Linked DNA regions of Sus scrofa. The protein of the gene in region 1 purifies or fractionates together with the protein of each later gene. This does not show direct contact. Links are inferred from orthologs where the notes say so. Each region holds a gene or a part of one and is shown in the gene's direction. Other genes may lie near its edges. The genes, in order: ELAVL1, TRIM21, IGF2BP1 and BTRC.

Evidence for each region.
Region 2: the proteins of ELAVL1 (region 1) and TRIM21 purify together in Homo sapiens (affinity purification with western blotting; 3 studies listed by BioGRID, with this or other methods). This does not show direct contact. The link is inferred for Sus scrofa from reciprocal best matches to the Homo sapiens genes ELAVL1 and TRIM21.
Region 3: the proteins of ELAVL1 (region 1) and IGF2BP1 purify together in Homo sapiens (co-immunoprecipitation; 3 studies listed by BioGRID and IntAct, with this or other methods). This does not show direct contact. The link is inferred for Sus scrofa from reciprocal best matches to the Homo sapiens genes ELAVL1 and IGF2BP1.
Region 4: the proteins of ELAVL1 (region 1) and BTRC purify together in Homo sapiens (affinity purification with western blotting; 4 studies listed by BioGRID, with this or other methods). This does not show direct contact. The link is inferred for Sus scrofa from reciprocal best matches to the Homo sapiens genes ELAVL1 and BTRC.

The regions. Positions count from the first base shown.
Region 1 is NC_010444.4:71,205,818-71,209,987, forward strand, and holds the start of ELAVL1 (ELAV-like protein 1), read left to right. Parts: upstream 1-1,323; 5' UTR 1,324-1,450; intron 1,451-4,170. UniProt on the Homo sapiens protein: RNA-binding protein that binds to the 3'-UTR region of mRNAs and increases their stability.
Region 2 is NC_010451.4:5,780,582-5,784,933, forward strand, and holds the start of TRIM21 (E3 ubiquitin-protein ligase TRIM21), read left to right. Parts: upstream 1-1,551; 5' UTR 1,552-1,698; intron 1,699-1,725; exon of another isoform or gene 1,726-1,932; intron 1,933-2,694; 5' UTR 2,695-2,740; coding exon 2,741-3,148; intron 3,149-3,651; coding exon 3,652-3,747; intron 3,748-4,352. UniProt on the Homo sapiens protein: E3 ubiquitin-protein ligase whose activity is dependent on E2 enzymes, UBE2D1, UBE2D2, UBE2E1 and UBE2E2.
Region 3 is NC_010454.4:25,224,433-25,227,994, forward strand, and holds part of IGF2BP1 (insulin-like growth factor 2 mRNA-binding protein 1), read left to right. Parts: intron 1-902; coding exon 903-951; intron 952-1,463; coding exon 1,464-1,515; intron 1,516-3,562. UniProt on the Homo sapiens protein: RNA-binding factor that recruits target transcripts to cytoplasmic protein-RNA complexes (mRNPs). This transcript 'caging' into mRNPs allows mRNA transport and transient storage.
Region 4 is NC_010456.5:112,552,216-112,555,777, forward strand, and holds part of BTRC (F-box/WD repeat-containing protein 1A), read left to right. Parts: intron 1-1,861; coding exon 1,862-2,093; intron 2,094-3,562. UniProt on the Homo sapiens protein: Substrate recognition component of a SCF (SKP1-CUL1-F-box protein) E3 ubiquitin-protein ligase complex which mediates the ubiquitination and subsequent proteasomal degradation of target proteins. Recognizes and binds to phosphorylated target proteins.

The DNA.
Region 1 (4,170 bases):
CACATGGAGCTGGTGATTATTAAATGAGACACTGCTGATTAAAAGGCATGCCCATGATGGGAGAAAGTTCTGTTGGATAAACATGACACTATACTACACTATGATTATTTTTTCAGTGTTCTTGACTCTTTCTGGTCCTTCTGCAGATCCTATTGTCTCAATCTTCCTAACAGTCCTCTTTCAAACTGAAATCCCCACATTCCTCACCTATGCCCTCTGTCCAATTTACTTTTCCTCTTACCACTTTTCACCACTGTGTGTGGAATCCACTTGATTTCTTTTCTGCCTCCTCATCTAGCACTGCACGGTCTCATACAGTAGTCACTGGCAACTGCGCTGTTGAGCCCTTGAAACGTAGCCAGTCCAACTTCAGAAGCGCTGTGAGTGTAAAAAAACACCAGATTTCAAAAGCACGTAAAGAAGGAAAAAAAAAAAAAAACATAAAAAGATCTCAGAACTTTTTATATTGGTTACATGTTGAAACAGCTTTTTGGACATAAATTGGGTTCAATAAAACACATCATTAAAATTAACATCTCCTGTTTCTTTTTATTTTTCCCCCTCTAGCATGGCTATAAGAAACGTTAAATTACTCATGTGGCTAACATTTGTGGTACGCTTATACCGCTCTTGGACAGAGCCAGCCTAGAATGTCAACCAAATAGAGGCAGGTATTTTGGCTAGTTCACTGTGCACACATTGACTGGCACGTAGTAGGCACTCAATTAAATTTTAATGAATGGGTGTTAGGCTGAGCATCGGGGTAAACTGCTAGCTCTGATAAGCAACACTGATGGAACGCTGACGGCATCCCATGCCCCGCCTACTCATTACACCAGATAAGGAAACTGAGGCCCGCCGAGGTGACGTCAGCCCCTGCCCAAGGGTACGTAGTGCGGAAACGCTGGGGCCAGGATTCGAACCCGAGTCCTGCCTTTACAGTCCTGGTGCACTGACCGCTCCTACCTTGTAGGGTGGTAACGGTGGCCGCGGCGGCGGTGGGACACATAGGCTCGAGACACACAAAATGCCCCCGATAAAGGGCGCGGCTCTTCGGTCACCGCCTTCCGTCGGCCGCCGTGGGCCAAGCCCCAACTGGCCCCCTCCGCGGCCATCGCCGGCCACCCGCGTCTCTGCCTGCCGCCGAGCCCTTCTCAGGCGGCGCCAGCCGGAAGTCCCGCCTCCGCCGCGCGCCCCGGGGCGCCGCGACAGCAACGCCGGCCAACGAGAAGCGCGCAGTGGCGGACGCTGGCCAATGGGTGCGCGCGTCGGGGGGGCGTGTCCGGGCCGCGGGCCGGAGCGGGTCGTGCGCGCTGAGGAGGAGCCGCCGCCGCCGTCGCCGTCGCCGCCGCTGCCGCCACCGCTACCGAGGCCGAGCGGAGCCGTTAGCGCCGCGCCGCCGCCGCCCGCCCGACCCGGAGCAGCCCCGGGCCATCCCGCCCGCGTCCAGGTGAGGCGGGGGCCTTCGGCGGCGCTCGACGGGGTAGGCCGCGGCAGGCCTGAGCTCGCCTGGCCGGGCCGCGGGCGCTCGCGGGCCTGCACCGGCCGAGGCCCAGGCCGCGCGGGGCTGGGAGGGGACGCGCACGGGCCTCGGCGAGCTGGCGAGGGCCGGCCGCTGTGGGCGCCGGCGACAGGCCCCGGGCCGGATTCCTTGGCCGCCGCGAGGGCCGAAAGAGGGGGACGCGGCGTGGGCACGCGCCTGGCGGCCGGGCTCCACGGCCGGGCCGGGGTAGTCTTGCAAGCCGGCTATCCGGGGGCGGGAGAGCGAAGCCAGAGACGAGGGAGTCGGGTGAGCGCCTTCAGCGCGCAGAGGTCACGGCCCACGGGCACGCTCCCCGGGGAAATCCTATACATTCTTTTGTGGTCGTTGTCAGAGGACCGCGGCCGATCTGAGGTCCTTTTAGAAGTGTGCAAACCCTTCACTATGTATGAGGGTCGAAGAAAAATATATATTTATGGACGCCATCTCTAACAAAGCTGTTTTTGAGGCGTGGGACGTTTGGGTTTGTAAAATTGTGTGTGTGTGTAAAACATAAACTGCACGCAGTTGAACAATGGAGGATGGATGTTCTTCCTTTTCCGGCGTCCTCCGCTGCTAGGCTTATTAAAATGGGTTCTAATACCTACTGTTTGTAGGGCATGTGGGGAAGAACTTCTGCAGGCCCTGCCCCTGGAGGAACAGAGCCCCCTCCCCTTTACTGAAAGTATTCCTGTGGAATCCTGAGAACCAATGTCCAGAAGTGGGACGATGGGGAGGAGGATTCAAGGGTTTTCAACCTTGGCGCTACTGACATTTGGGATCTGATCATTTTTGGTTTGTGGGGGAGGGCTGTTCTGTGTATGGTAGGATGCTGAGTAGCATCCCTGGCCTCTACCCACGAGACGCCAGCAGCATCCATGTCCCCTAGTTGTGAAGATCAAAAATATCTTCAGATGTTGCTGAAAGTATCTCACACACACACACACACACACACACACGCGCGCGCGCGCGCTTACACATGTGAGAACCACCACTGGACTAAATGATATTACCCTAAAAGTTCCCTTAGCCCCATCTCTGATGCCTTGGAACGGAAGGCTCCCAAAACGTTGAACAGATTCAGCTGTGGGAGCCTTCGTTTTCTTATCTATGAAACAGGACGGATGAGAATATTGCTGTACAGATATTAAGGATGTGGGAAACCCCAGCATTGTGTGTGACCTGTGCCTGGTAGGCATTGAATATATAACATTATAAACAGTTGACAGTGTTTAGTGAGCATTTACTAGGTGTTTTACACTCACAGACTTTTGTTTGTCTTTAGCCTTGAGGTAGGTGCCGTTGTAATTTCTATTTGGGGACAAAGAAACAGGCTTGCATGGGTCACTTAATGTGACCAGTCTCACACAGTGAAGTGTGATGATGGCAGGAGTTGAGCTCAGGCCCTCTGATTCGGAGTCTTTACTCTTAGGCACTGGATTTTACTGCCGTTATAATCGCAGGGTCCAGGGGACCTCAGTTGACATTGCATTGAATTATCATTGAGCATCTTCTGTGTACAGGATTCTGTGCTGGGATCTGTTACAAAATTCAAGGTCCATCAAGAAGCAAAGCTATATGAACATCTCAAAATGTGGAAAAAATGTTTATGTTGAAGCACTGATTTGGAGGCAGAATTTCAGTTTGGATGTGTTGAGTCTGAGGTCATGGGACAGCAAAGTGCAAAACAAGAGGAGAATTATAAAAATGCCATCTTCTTGATGCTTGCTTTTGCCTCTTTCACTCCTGTTCCCACCTCTATCATCTTTCCACACTCCAGCAAGAGTTGTCTTTTTTTTTTTTTTTTTTTTTAATGCAGGTCTGATTATGTTACTCCCAATTAAGAGTCTTCGGGTGGGGAAAAATAATTTTTTAACCTATTTATGTGGCTTAAAAGCTACCTCAAGTTTGAGATCCCAGGTCTTTTGCACTCTAATCCTCCCTTCTGTTTTGATTTTACCTGCACATCAGCCCTAAGCGCCAACCCTTCTCTACCTGTTGCCCCCACTGCTTGGAATGCCATTGTCCTCCACCTCGAGATCTCTTTCTCATGCTGTGTGGCTCAGGTCAGAGCTCACTCACCATTTGAAGCCTCCTCCGACTGCCACACTTCCTCTGGCCACACTGCAAATATTTCTTCCCTCGTTTGTGTCCCCATCTCATTCAATGGAATCAAATGCTGGTGAGAGAAGTGCAGTTGCCTCCTTTCGCCCCAAGGTGGCAGTAGTGATGCAGCGAGGCTGATCGGAGAACTCTCGGTCGGGGAAGACCAGAGGAAACCAGACCACGGAAGGGAGGTTAGTTTTGCTTCCCTCCTTTAACCAACTTTCTCTGCCCTGATGCTATGTCCTAGGCACCATGCTAGGCTCTGGGGGGGGGGGGGCGCATTGGTGATTTCGAGGTGTTGCATAGATTGTTTTAGCTCACTCTGTTGAGTGTGATAATGGCTCTGTGCTGACTGATTTTTCCCCACCCGAAACAGAGAAGGAAACTGTTCCCCCATAAGGGAGATCACAGAATCTTCCCGGAGGAGGTGAAGCTTGAGGGGTGGGGAGGAGTCAGCCAGGCCAAGACTGTGGGGAAGGACTTGGCAGGATGCAGGAACGGTACAGGCAAAGGCATGGAGGCAGGAACATCTTGGTTTGTGCAGG
Region 2 (4,352 bases), on another chromosome or scaffold:
CATGGATGCTAGTCTGATTCATTAACCGCTGAGCCACGACGGGAACTCCCGATATTTATTTTATATGGGGACAAAAGAAATGAGTAGGAAGGAAGTGAGAGTTTTTCCAGCCTCACCATCTTCCTTCTCTACAGCACATGAGCACACCTATCAGCTGCGCCTACAACCTCTGCTTGGACTCTCAGGCAGCCTGTTATCTCCTGGCTGTCCCTAACACGAGGGTCCTCCCTGAACTTTTAACTCTCAGGCACCATGGTTTACCGTGTCACTTAAAGTCACCTCACTCCCTTTATTCTCAGTGTCCTCTCCTGTGACAATAACTCAACTGCTAAGTCGCTGCGTGGCTTAAAGCAAACAACCTGACACAGCAGTATTAACCCTAACCCTAACCAGTAGGCGGAAGCCACCCACCCCAAGCATCCGTCGACAGATAACCGGATAATCAAAATGAATACTCAGACGCTGGAATATCGCTCAGCCTTAAAAGGAAGGCAGTCCTGTCACCGGCTCCGGTGGATGAACCTTGAGGATCTCAGGTTATGTGAAATACACCAGTCACAAAGGGACAAATACGGTAGGATGCCACTTACGTAAGGCACCGAAAACGTCAAACTCACAGAGACAGAGAACAGAATGGTGGTTGCCAGGGGCTGAGGGGAGGGAGGAATGGGAAACTATTGTTTAATGGGGGCAGAGTTCACGTTTCGCAAGATCAAAGTTCTGTGTGTGGATAGTGTGACGGTCATACAATAATGTGAATGCATTTAATGCCACGCAACTAGACACTTACAAATGGCTAAGATGGTGAATGCTATGTGTATTTTGCTGCAAATTTTAAAATTGATAATAATAAACCTGAGAAAACCCCTAGCTCAGTGAGAAGTTTACAGTTGGTGCTCAATAAATGTCAGGCCCCTTCGTCCCACTCCCTGGTGTGATACCCACCTTGGAGAAATGCAGGAAAAAAATCCCTCTCTCCCCAATGTTAATTACCGCATCTCCTAAAAAGAATTTTTTCCTGAAGTAGGAGAGAGAAACTGGCCTTTTTTTTTTTTTTTTTTTTTTTTTTGCTTTTCAGGAACACACTTGTGGCATATGGAGGTTCCCAGGCTAGGGATCAAATAAGAGCTACAGGGGACGGCCTTCAACCACAGCCACAGCCACACCAGATCCCAGCGGCGCCTGAAACCTACACCACCGCTCACCGAAAGGTCAGATCCTTAACGCACTGAGCGAGGCCAGGGATGGAACCCACATCCTCATGGATCCTAGTCGGGTTGGTTAACCACTGAGCCATGAAGGGAACTCCCTAGAGACGGTGGCCTTTGTGGGAGAGCTCCCCCGAGCTCCTTCGGTCACCCCAAACTCCTTAAGGCAGCTCTGGGTGGCACGGTACGGAGGCTGGGGCTAAGCACCCGAGTCAAAGAGAGCAGCCTCTCCACGGAGCAGTCACACTACTTGAGGCCACTAGACAGAGAGACTTGGAAAGGAGCGCAAAGCAAGGACTGGATGCTGCGGAGCCTCTGAGCCATCCTAGCCCCGGGGCGCTGACACTGGCCGAAGCTCAACGCGCCCGCCTCCCGCCTTCCGCCTCCGCCCCTTCCCTCCCCTTCCTTTCAGACTTGCGCTCGACGGGAAATGCGGGAAATCGAAAGTGAAACTTGGAGCCAGCTATTATCTGCGGAGTCCCTTGAAAAGGTGAGTGGATTCACGAACTCGGTTAGACCCGGGTACCCCAGGCCTCCCCGGGGGACCGCTCTCCGCTGCCCCGGATCTGAAGAGCCCCTTGCAGCCGAGCTCTCTGCTGCCCCAGAGCCCTCTTGGGCGCAGGGTTCCCTCGACCCTAACCGGCGGTTTTCCCCGTGCTGCCGTCCGCCCGGGAGGAGGCTGGGCTGTGAACCGACTTCCAAGTCCTCCGGAGCCCAGGGCGGGGTAGGCCTGCCATCCCCGAGACGCCCATCCACAAAAGTCCCCTCTGGAAACGACAGGGGCAGGGTTGCTTAGGGTATTAGAAGTTTTGGGGTCTGTGCCCTGGAGGAAACAAAGACAGGTGCCTGCTTCAGGAAGCTGAGGGAACAGGTGGGGGAGTGCTCTTTAGACATGTGTGGGTGTGTGGGTGTGTCTGTGTGTGTGTACACACATAGGTATGTACACCTGCACATATGGATAAATATGTGCACGTGCAGATGTGTGTGTATATATATACTTATTTATATGTTCATATTGTGGGTGATAGATAGCTCCTTCCTGCCAAGTTTCAGGGATTAATGAGGAGGAATGTGAAGTATGTGCCTCCCGGCACGGGGGAAGGGGCATGGTAAGTGGTCGCTGCTATTAGGATTAGCTTCTCAGCAGAGCAAGAGGACCAGTGGCTGGAGATGGAAGATGGACGAGTAAGCCTGGGCGCCGAGGGTTTCAGCAGAGATAGACATGAAAGTGGAACTGTAAGCAGCTTGATCTCAGATTCCCAGCAATTTTTGCTATCTCTTTTGAGGACTCAGTTTCCCCTTCTGTCTGACTGGCTCATTGGACCAGACTCCGGAGGAGAAGCCCTTGTGACTCAGGTTGACGTCGTTGTTACCTTTGTTTTCAGCCCCTCCAGTTCACGCTCCCTCGAGGTCTCCTTTGAATTGTTCTGTTTTCCTCACACAGCTCTTCTCATCGCCTTCTTTCCTTTTCTCCCCTCCCCGCTAGGCCACCCCGAGATCTCCTCAGCGCTGCTTCATAGCCCGGCAGCACCATGGCCTCAGCACTGCCCTTGGCAAGGATGTGGGATGAGGTCACGTGCTCCATCTGCCTGGATCCCATGGTGGAGCCCGTGAGCATCGAATGTGGCCACAGCTTCTGCCAGGAATGCATCTCCGAGGTTGGGAAGGATGGGGGCAGCGTCTGTCCTGTGTGCCGGCAGCACTTCCTGCTCAGGAACCTCCGGCCCAATCGGCAGGTGGCCAACATGGTGGATAACCTCAAAGAGATGAGCCAGGGGGTCAAGGAAGGCCCGCAGTGGGAGCTGTGTGCGGTGCACGGAGAGAAGCTTCACCTGTTCTGTAAGGACGATGGGAAGGTCCTTTGCTGGGTGTGTTCCCAGTCCCGGAAACACCGGGACCACACCATGGTCCCCATTGAGGAGGCGGCTCAGGAGTACCAGGTGAGGCCTTAGCCCGGAGGCACCTGGGCACGAGCAGGCGGGAAGAAGGTGGGGCCCTGATAAGCGCTTTGTTCTCCCGGGCTGGGGGTGGGACCGAGTCACCTGTGGAGTTGAGGGGTTGGGGACAGGAAGGGGATCCCCTGCCTTCTATGTCCTATTTAAGGGAAGACCCACCATCTCGGCACGATTTTCCCACTGCCCAGGAGCAGGGCGTCTGTTGTGGGAAAAGGCTGCAAGGCCCATGCTTCTGTGTGGCCTCCTGGTTAATTAGGAACGAATGTGTCCCCACCCCCACCACGCCAACAGGGTACCTCTATTTCCTAAGAAACATCAGGCTTTTTCCAGAGTCTTCCCATCACAGAATGCCCACCCCGGTCAGAGGCTCACCCTTCCTCCTCCCCGCCTCAGGCTTTTCTAAGGACCAGTAGGATCCTCCTGGACCTTGTGCCCCCCCACCCTACTTTTTGGTCTGACTGGGCATTACCCGCTGTCTTTCTCTGCAGGAGAAGCTCCAGGTGGCACTCGAGAAACTCAGAAATAAACAGGAGCAGGCTGAGAAGCTGGAAGCGGATATTGCAACGAAGAGAGCAGCCTGGAAGGCAAGGGGCACGTCCTGAAGGGCACTTTAGATCAGAAGCCTGGGGAGGGTCCAGGGTCCTGGCCTCGAGAGCTCTGTGCATAGCTATGCCCGTCAGGAGACTGGGAGTCCCCATGTGTCAGTCTCCAAAAACCAGCCGTGCCCTGGGTCTCCTGAGAGAAGGGAGCAGGAAAGCACGGTGCCCAAAAGGCGGGCACTCCAGTCAGACGCAAAGACAGGGGGTCTTGGGGAGAATGCACGGGGACAAGACGGACCCCAAAGCTCCTGTTCCTGGAGCCCGGTCTCAGGCGATGACAGCACAGGGCCCGTGTCTGCAACAGAGGAGTCCCAGGAAGGAATGCCCGGTGGCTCGGCCTGTCGGGACATGACAAGGGCTCTGAGGACAGACTTAAGGAGCCATCAAGGCCTGAGGGAGGAAAACCAGCCTGACCAGGGGTTTCTTGACGGCGTGCTGTTCCTGGTGCAAGGTGTCGCGGGAGCTACGGCCTGTTCTGCTCCAGGGCTTGGGCAGCAGTGGGTCAGGAACTAGAGACAGTGGGAGGAGCTCATGGACCCGGGAAGGGTGAGTCAGGCTGTGGCGGCAAGAGAGGTCATCTCGTGTCATCA
Region 3 (3,562 bases), on another chromosome or scaffold:
GTGCTATTGAGTGGAGCACAGGTTTAAATCCATATCTGTACCAAAAGAAAAAAAAAGGAGTTTAGCTGCTGCCTATTATCCTGCTGTAATTTGTTTGCATACATGTTTCCCCTAATAAATTGTGAGCACCTTGAGACCAGGTAGTTTGCCTTTTTTTTTTTTTTTTTTTTTTTGTCATTTTGCCATTTCTTGGGCCGCTCCCTCGGCATATGGAGGTTCCCAGGCTAGGGGTCAAATTGGAGCTGTAGCCACCAGTCTATGCCAGAGCCACAGCAACACGGGATCTGAGCCTAGTCTGCAACCTACACCTCAGCTCATGGCAACGCCGGATCCTTAACCCCCTGAGCAAGGCCAGGGATCAGACCCACAACCTCAGGGTTCCTAGTCGGATTCATTAACCACTGAGCCATGACGGGAACTCCAGTACTTTGCTTTGTTTATCACTATGTCCCCAGCAGGTAGAACAAAATCCGGCATGAGGTAGGTGCCGATTGAAAAGGTATCAGATAAATGATTCATGGAATAATTTGTGTAGCTAGCTTTGTATTCTTAGAGCCTGTCACACAGTGGGTTATAGACGGTTACTGAGTAAGAGAACTAGTGAGCAACTAAGAGAGATACACAAAGCAGATGGGACGGGGCGGGGGCGGGGGGGCTTTGGTTTTCCTAGCCTATAGGGCCTCTGATTTGGCCTTCCCATCTGCGGTAGCACTGACAGTAAGCAAGCCCCCCCCCACCACCACATCTTCACTCCCAAAGGTTATCATTCTTCAACTCTAAGGCTTTGGGGTTGAGCAGCAGAAAACAGGAAGGTAGACTGGGATAAGGATTAAAACCCACACGGTCATGGGCCCCTAAAAAGCACCCAGAGCTGTCACTGACACTGTTCTCTCTGATTTCAGGAGTCGGAAAATACAGATCCGAAATATTCCACCCCAGCTGCGATGGGAAGTAAGTGATCGGGGGATTCTCGAATCGGTGGTGTGGGGTCATCACAGAGACTGGGAAGGGAGTCTGGGTCAGCCTGCGTTGGCAGAGGTGACGGGGAGGTGTCCTGGTGGCTTGGGGCTGAGGGGAGACTGGCTGGGTCTCAGCCCTAACCTCAGGCTTCTGTGTTTGTTCTGTCCCTGTGGTGAGAGGCCTGACGGAAGTGGGAGGGGCAGTCCCTGAACCCCAAACTTAGTAATGACAAAGGGTAAGTTAGGGACCCGCGTGGCACAATCCGGCTTCCAGAAAGGCGCTTAAATGTCTTCTTGAGCTAAAGTATATTCTGCAAAGAAACCCCAACAGGTCACCACCCGCATGAGTCCCCTAGAAAGGGCAAAGCAAGCAGGTAGCTGCTCCATCCCCACACCAAAGGCGCCGCCTGTGCCCCAGTGCTTGGGGATGAGGGGTGTCCAGTGCTGGCTGTATGAGTTCCTGGGGTGCTCAGAGCAGCTGTGTCCCCTTCTCCCTGCTCCCAGGTACTGGACAGCCTGCTGGCTCAGTATGGAACAGTAGAGAACTGCGAGCAAGGTAAGAGTGGGCAGGGGAGGTAGGGCAGCGATGGAGGGGTGGGTGTTGGAGGAGCGAGGGGGGTGTCTCCCTGCTTCGATTTCTGTTGCCAAGTTTACCTCCTGGAGCACCAAGAGAAGGCAGCTAAAACGTGGTGTGGAGGGAGGCACACCGCAGTGTGAACCGGGACGTGTGGTCCCGGCTTCAGCTCTACTGCTTCTCTCTGGAGCAGGTTTCTCCACTGTTTCATAAGGAAAGCAACGAAGTCACTCATTCCCAGCATGGGGTCCCCAGGCTCCTGGGGCCAACCAAGGAAGAAATAAAGGTCCCAAGAGTTTAGGAATAAAATCCACAAAGAATGGAAATGGTGGAGTTCCCCTGCAGCACAGCGGATTAAGGATCTGGCGTTATTCCCAACTGTAGCTCGGGTCACTGCTGCAGCATGGGTTCGATCCCTGGCCTAGGAACTTCTCAATGCTGCAGGTGTGCCCCCCCGCAACCCAACCAAACCAAACCAAAAACAAACCCCCCAAAGCAGAGAATTTATTAATACATATTGATAGGCAGGCAAAATCTTTCAAGAGTGGGCCCACTGAAAAGAGAAATAATGAAAGAATGTAGATGGAAGTTGTAGATAAAAAGTTTGCTATTACTTTTTATCATTTCTCCACTGCTTAAGATGATAAATTTTTTTCAAAGGAAATGAACTAAAATAAAATCTGGAGTGATTTTGGTTGGACATAAAGTACAGCTTGGTCATGAGGTAGACAAACACAGTTTGAGCCTGCAGATCTTTTAAGAAACCTAGGCCAGGAGTTCCCGTTGTGGTACAGCGGAAACAAAACTGACTAGTATCCATGAGGATTCAGGTTCAATCCCTGGCCTTACTCAGTGGGTCAGAGATCCAGCATTGCTGTGAGCTGTGGTGTAGGTCACAGACACGGCTCGGATCCCACGTGGCTGTGGCTGTGGCTGTGGTGTAGGCCCGGCAGCTGTAGCTGATTAGATCCCTGGTCTGGGTGCTTCCATATGCCTCAGGTGCGGCCCCGAAAAGCAAAAAAAAAAAAAAAAAAAAAAAACAGAAAGAAACTTAGACAAGATTTAAATATTCATTTCCAAACTCTGTGTGGAATGGAGCATGATGTAAACCATTAAAAGTGATTAAAATACTTGCCTGCACGAAGGTATGAAGTGTATAATCAATCAAACGGGTTCTCTTCTGCTTCAATCCCACGCCTTGCCTTTTATCACAACTGGAAGCACTGATAATCATTGTCCAGTCCTGCTCACAGCTTAGACTGGCCACTGAGTTACTCCCCTGACAGAGACTGAGCAATGGCTTGGACACACATGGAGAGCCTCAGTAGGTGGCCCGGAAGGAGTCACCACTGGTTAAAATCCTTCCTAGGCTCACCAGGGAGGGATAACACACGTGTCCGCTTCCCAGATAGAACAGAATAGAAAATGTGTGGGGTGTTTTTTGGGGTTTTTTTTGTTTGTTTGTTTGTTTTTGGTCTTCTTAGGGCCACACTTGAGGCATATGGAAGTTCCCAGGCTAGGGTCAAAGCAGAGCTACAGCTGCTGGCCTCCACCACAGCCACCGCCACGTGGGATTCGAGTCCCGTCTGCAACCTACACTACCGCTCACAGCAAGGCTGGATCCTTAACCCGCTGAGTAAGGCCAGGGATCCGAACCCGAGTCCTCATGGATGCCAGTTGCGCTGAGCTACCGCGGGAACTCCTCAAACGCTGCTTTCTAAGCAAAGCCCTTTCTCTTCACCGTTTATGAAATTGTACCTCTGGCCACCACCTCCTTTACCCTGCTTTGTGTTTTGCTGTAACACTCACCACCTTTTCACTTTGAGGGGGAGAGAATGACTTTTTTTTTTTTTTTTTTTTTGGTCTTTTTGCCATTTCTTGGGCCGCTCCCGCGGCATATGGAGGTTCCCAGGCTAGGGGTCGAATCGGAGCTGTAGCCACCAGCCTACGCCAGAGCCACAGCACCGCGGGATCCGAGCCACGTCTGCAACCTACACCACAGCTCACGGCAACGCTGGATCGTTAACCC
Region 4 (3,562 bases), on another chromosome or scaffold:
CAACTCCTTGCCTTTGTAGTTTTGAGGTCCCCATTTCCTTACCGGTGCTGTGCTGAAAGCTGCTTTCAGCTTCTAAGACTCATCAAATGCCTTGCCAGGTGTTCCCCTTCTCTTTTGCAACCAATTGGAAAAACTCTCTGCTTTTAAAGGCACTCATGTCATTCGGTCATACCCACTGGAATAATCTCCCTATCTTAAGGTCCTGATTTAAGTCATAGCAGTTAGCTACATGTTTGTTTGAAACTGAGAGAAGATGTTTGTATATCTGGGGCCAAGAATTTCTTGTGGGACCATCCTAGGATTTCGCTTGTTACAGAAACATTCATTTATTTTTCTATCCCTTTATCTTGCTTTATTTTTCCTCAAAATCTGTCTGTATTATATTTTCTGTTTATATGGTAATGCTTTTAACTTGCTGTACATAATACAGTGTAAGTTACTGATAGTAGCAATTATGTTATTTTTGTTCAGTGTTGTATTCCTAATGGTTAGGACAGTGTTTGACACATTCCAGATGCTCAATTAATATTTATTGAGTGAGGAGTTCCCGTTGTGGCGCAGTGGAAATGAATCCAACTAGGAACCATGAGGTTACAGGTTCAATCCCTGGCCTCGCTCAGTGGTTAAGGATCCGACGTGCTGTGAGCTATGGGTAGGTCAGCAGCTGTACTCGATCGACCCTAGCTGGAACTCCATATGCCGAGGCTTAAAAGCAAGCAAAACAAAAAACATATTATGAATGAACAACTAATAAAAGATTATGTATAATTGAATACAGTGAGGGATTTTTTAAGTTTTTTAAAAGTATATTGGAAAAAAGTATATGAAAAAATATTAGGATCCCGTGGCCAGTGGTAACGATCGCTGGAACCATGAGGTGCGGTTCGGCCTGCCTTGCTCAGTGGGTTAAGGATCCAGCGTTGCCATGAGCTGTGGTGTAGGTTGCAGACGCGGCTCGGATCCCGCGTTGCTGTGGCTCTGGCATAGGCCAGTGGCTACAGCTCCGATTGGACCCCTAGCCTGGGAACCTCCATATGCTGCGGGTGCGGCCCAAAGAAATAGCAAAAAGACCAAAAAAAAAAAAAAAAGAAAAAAGAAAAGAAAAGAAAAAAGGTATATTAAAAAGGGTATATTGAGCATTGAAGTTATTCAAGTCTTATCTTCAGAGGTACCAGGGTCTCAAAGTATTCATTGGTTTTTCTTTGCATGGAAGATTTCTTACTTGACTGGTAAATAAGTTGTGAGTGGGAGTTCCCATTGAGGCTCAATGGGTTAAGAACCTGACATAGCATCCATGAGGATGAATGTTCAACCCCTGGCCTTGTTCAGTGGGTTAAGGATCTGACATTGCCGCAAGCTGCAGCGTAGGTTGCAGATGCAGCTCAGATCCAGCATTGCCGTGGCTCTGGTGTAGGCCTCAGCTGTATCTCTGATTCGACCCCTAGCCTGGGAACTTCCATATGCCTCGAGTGCAGCTGTAAAAAAGAAAAAAAAAAAAAGTCGTGAGTAGTTATATAAATGCCCAGTAATTGTTGTATACAAGAAAAAGCAAGTTAGCTTTTTTGCTTGCTATAACATACTTTCAGCTTTTGATTTTCATTTGTATGTCTCCAAATAACATTTTCCTCTGAACTTTTGGAAATGGATGCTTAGTCGTTGAACAGTATTCCTAATTTACAAACTTAACAGTTGTATTTCTGTGGTTTTCCATATTATTGCTGTGCACAAACATCCAATTACTAATAGAGTAACAGAGTGAGCTCCATCATATAGACATAACAGAGCATGCCAGACTGGAAAATTATATATCTCCCTTATTTCCAATACTTACTTTTAAATGTTTCTTTTAATTCACCTACAGACAAAACTTGCCAATGGCACTTCCAGTATGATTGTGCCCAAGCAACGGAAACTCTCAGCAAGCTATGAGAAGGAAAAGGAACTGTGTGTCAAATATTTTGAGCAGTGGTCAGAGTCTGATCAAGTGGAATTTGTGGAACATCTTATATCCCAAATGTGTCATTACCAACATGGGCACATAAACTCCTATCTTAAACCTATGTTGCAGAGGGATTTCATAACTGCCCTGCCAGGTATGTCTACGGGTATTTGTAAGCCATCAATTTGCCTGGAAGATATGTTACAATGGGAATCATATTGAATTTTCAGCTATACATCTCTCTTTTTTATTTATTATTATTATTTTGTATTTTTAGGGCCACAGATGCGACATATGGAAGTTCCCAGGCTAGGGGTCGAATCAGAGCTATAGCTGCCAGCCTACGCCACAGCCACAGCAACACCAGATCCTAGCCATGTCTGTGACCTACACCACTGCTCACGGCAATGCCAGATCCTTAACCCACTGAGTAGGGCCAGGGATCAAACCTACGTCCTTACCTCATGGATGCTAGTCGGGTTCATTACTCCTGAGCCACATTGGGAACTCCTGCATCTCTCTTTTTTAAAAAACCTTTATTGGCTTGATTTTTACAAACAGTATTTCAATCATATCTTCTTGGAATATAAATACAAAAATCAAACTCTGTAAAGAGACTTCTCTTTTTCTTCTCTTCTCCCTATCTCATCCCTTCTATTCACCCTGTTTTTACTCACACATAGATTTAAATAAAATCTTGTCTTAGGTGTTATTTGGTTCAAGATGTGTCTTGCTCTATAGCCTCATTGATCAGTAACTAGATATTCTAAACTGTATATTTTAAAATACATACATTTGTGCATATATATACACACACACTTAAATATATATATATATTATCTGTATACACACACACAGAAAGTAATTTGAAAAGTGCCGTGGTTGTTTTACTGAATGTTTGATAGTGAGGTAGGATACTTCATTGGCATCAGTGTTTGGGGAAAATGCTGTCTCAGGAAGATACAAGTTCTCACATGTGGTGAAAGCTTATTTTAAAAGAAAAATTGCACAAAAAGGAGTGAATCTCTAAAGTAGCACATCTTGCTCTTATTTTTTTCAGTTGTTGTTTCCTGATTATAGCAATAAAGTTATAGGAAATTTAGAAACTCCAAAAAAGTTTAGAATATAAAAGTAAAATTTCCCAGAACCCTACCATTCAGAGAGAACTACTGATGTGCTATTAACATTCTTTCTAGGTGTGTATATTTTCCCCTAAAGCTGGGGGAAATGTTGAGTAACATTTTCTAAGTGTTTGTAATATTTTTTTCTTATTATGTTTTCTTAATATATTTTACTAAGTGTTGGTTCTTCTAAAACATAATTTTTTATAATATTGTATATTCTTTATGATGGTTAAAACACATTATTTAACCCCTTTATTGAACATTTAGGTAGATTAAAATGTTTTTTCCGGAGTTCCTGTCATGGTGCAGTGGTTAACGAATCCGACTAGGAACCATGAGGTTGCGGGTTCGGTCCCTGCCCTTGCTCAGTGGGTTAACAATCCGGCGTTGCCGCGAGCTGTGGTGTAGGTTGCAGACGAGGCTCGGATCCTGCGTTGCTGTGGCTCTGGCATAGGCCTAGCCTGGGAACCTCCATGTGCCGCGGGAGTGGCCCAAGAAA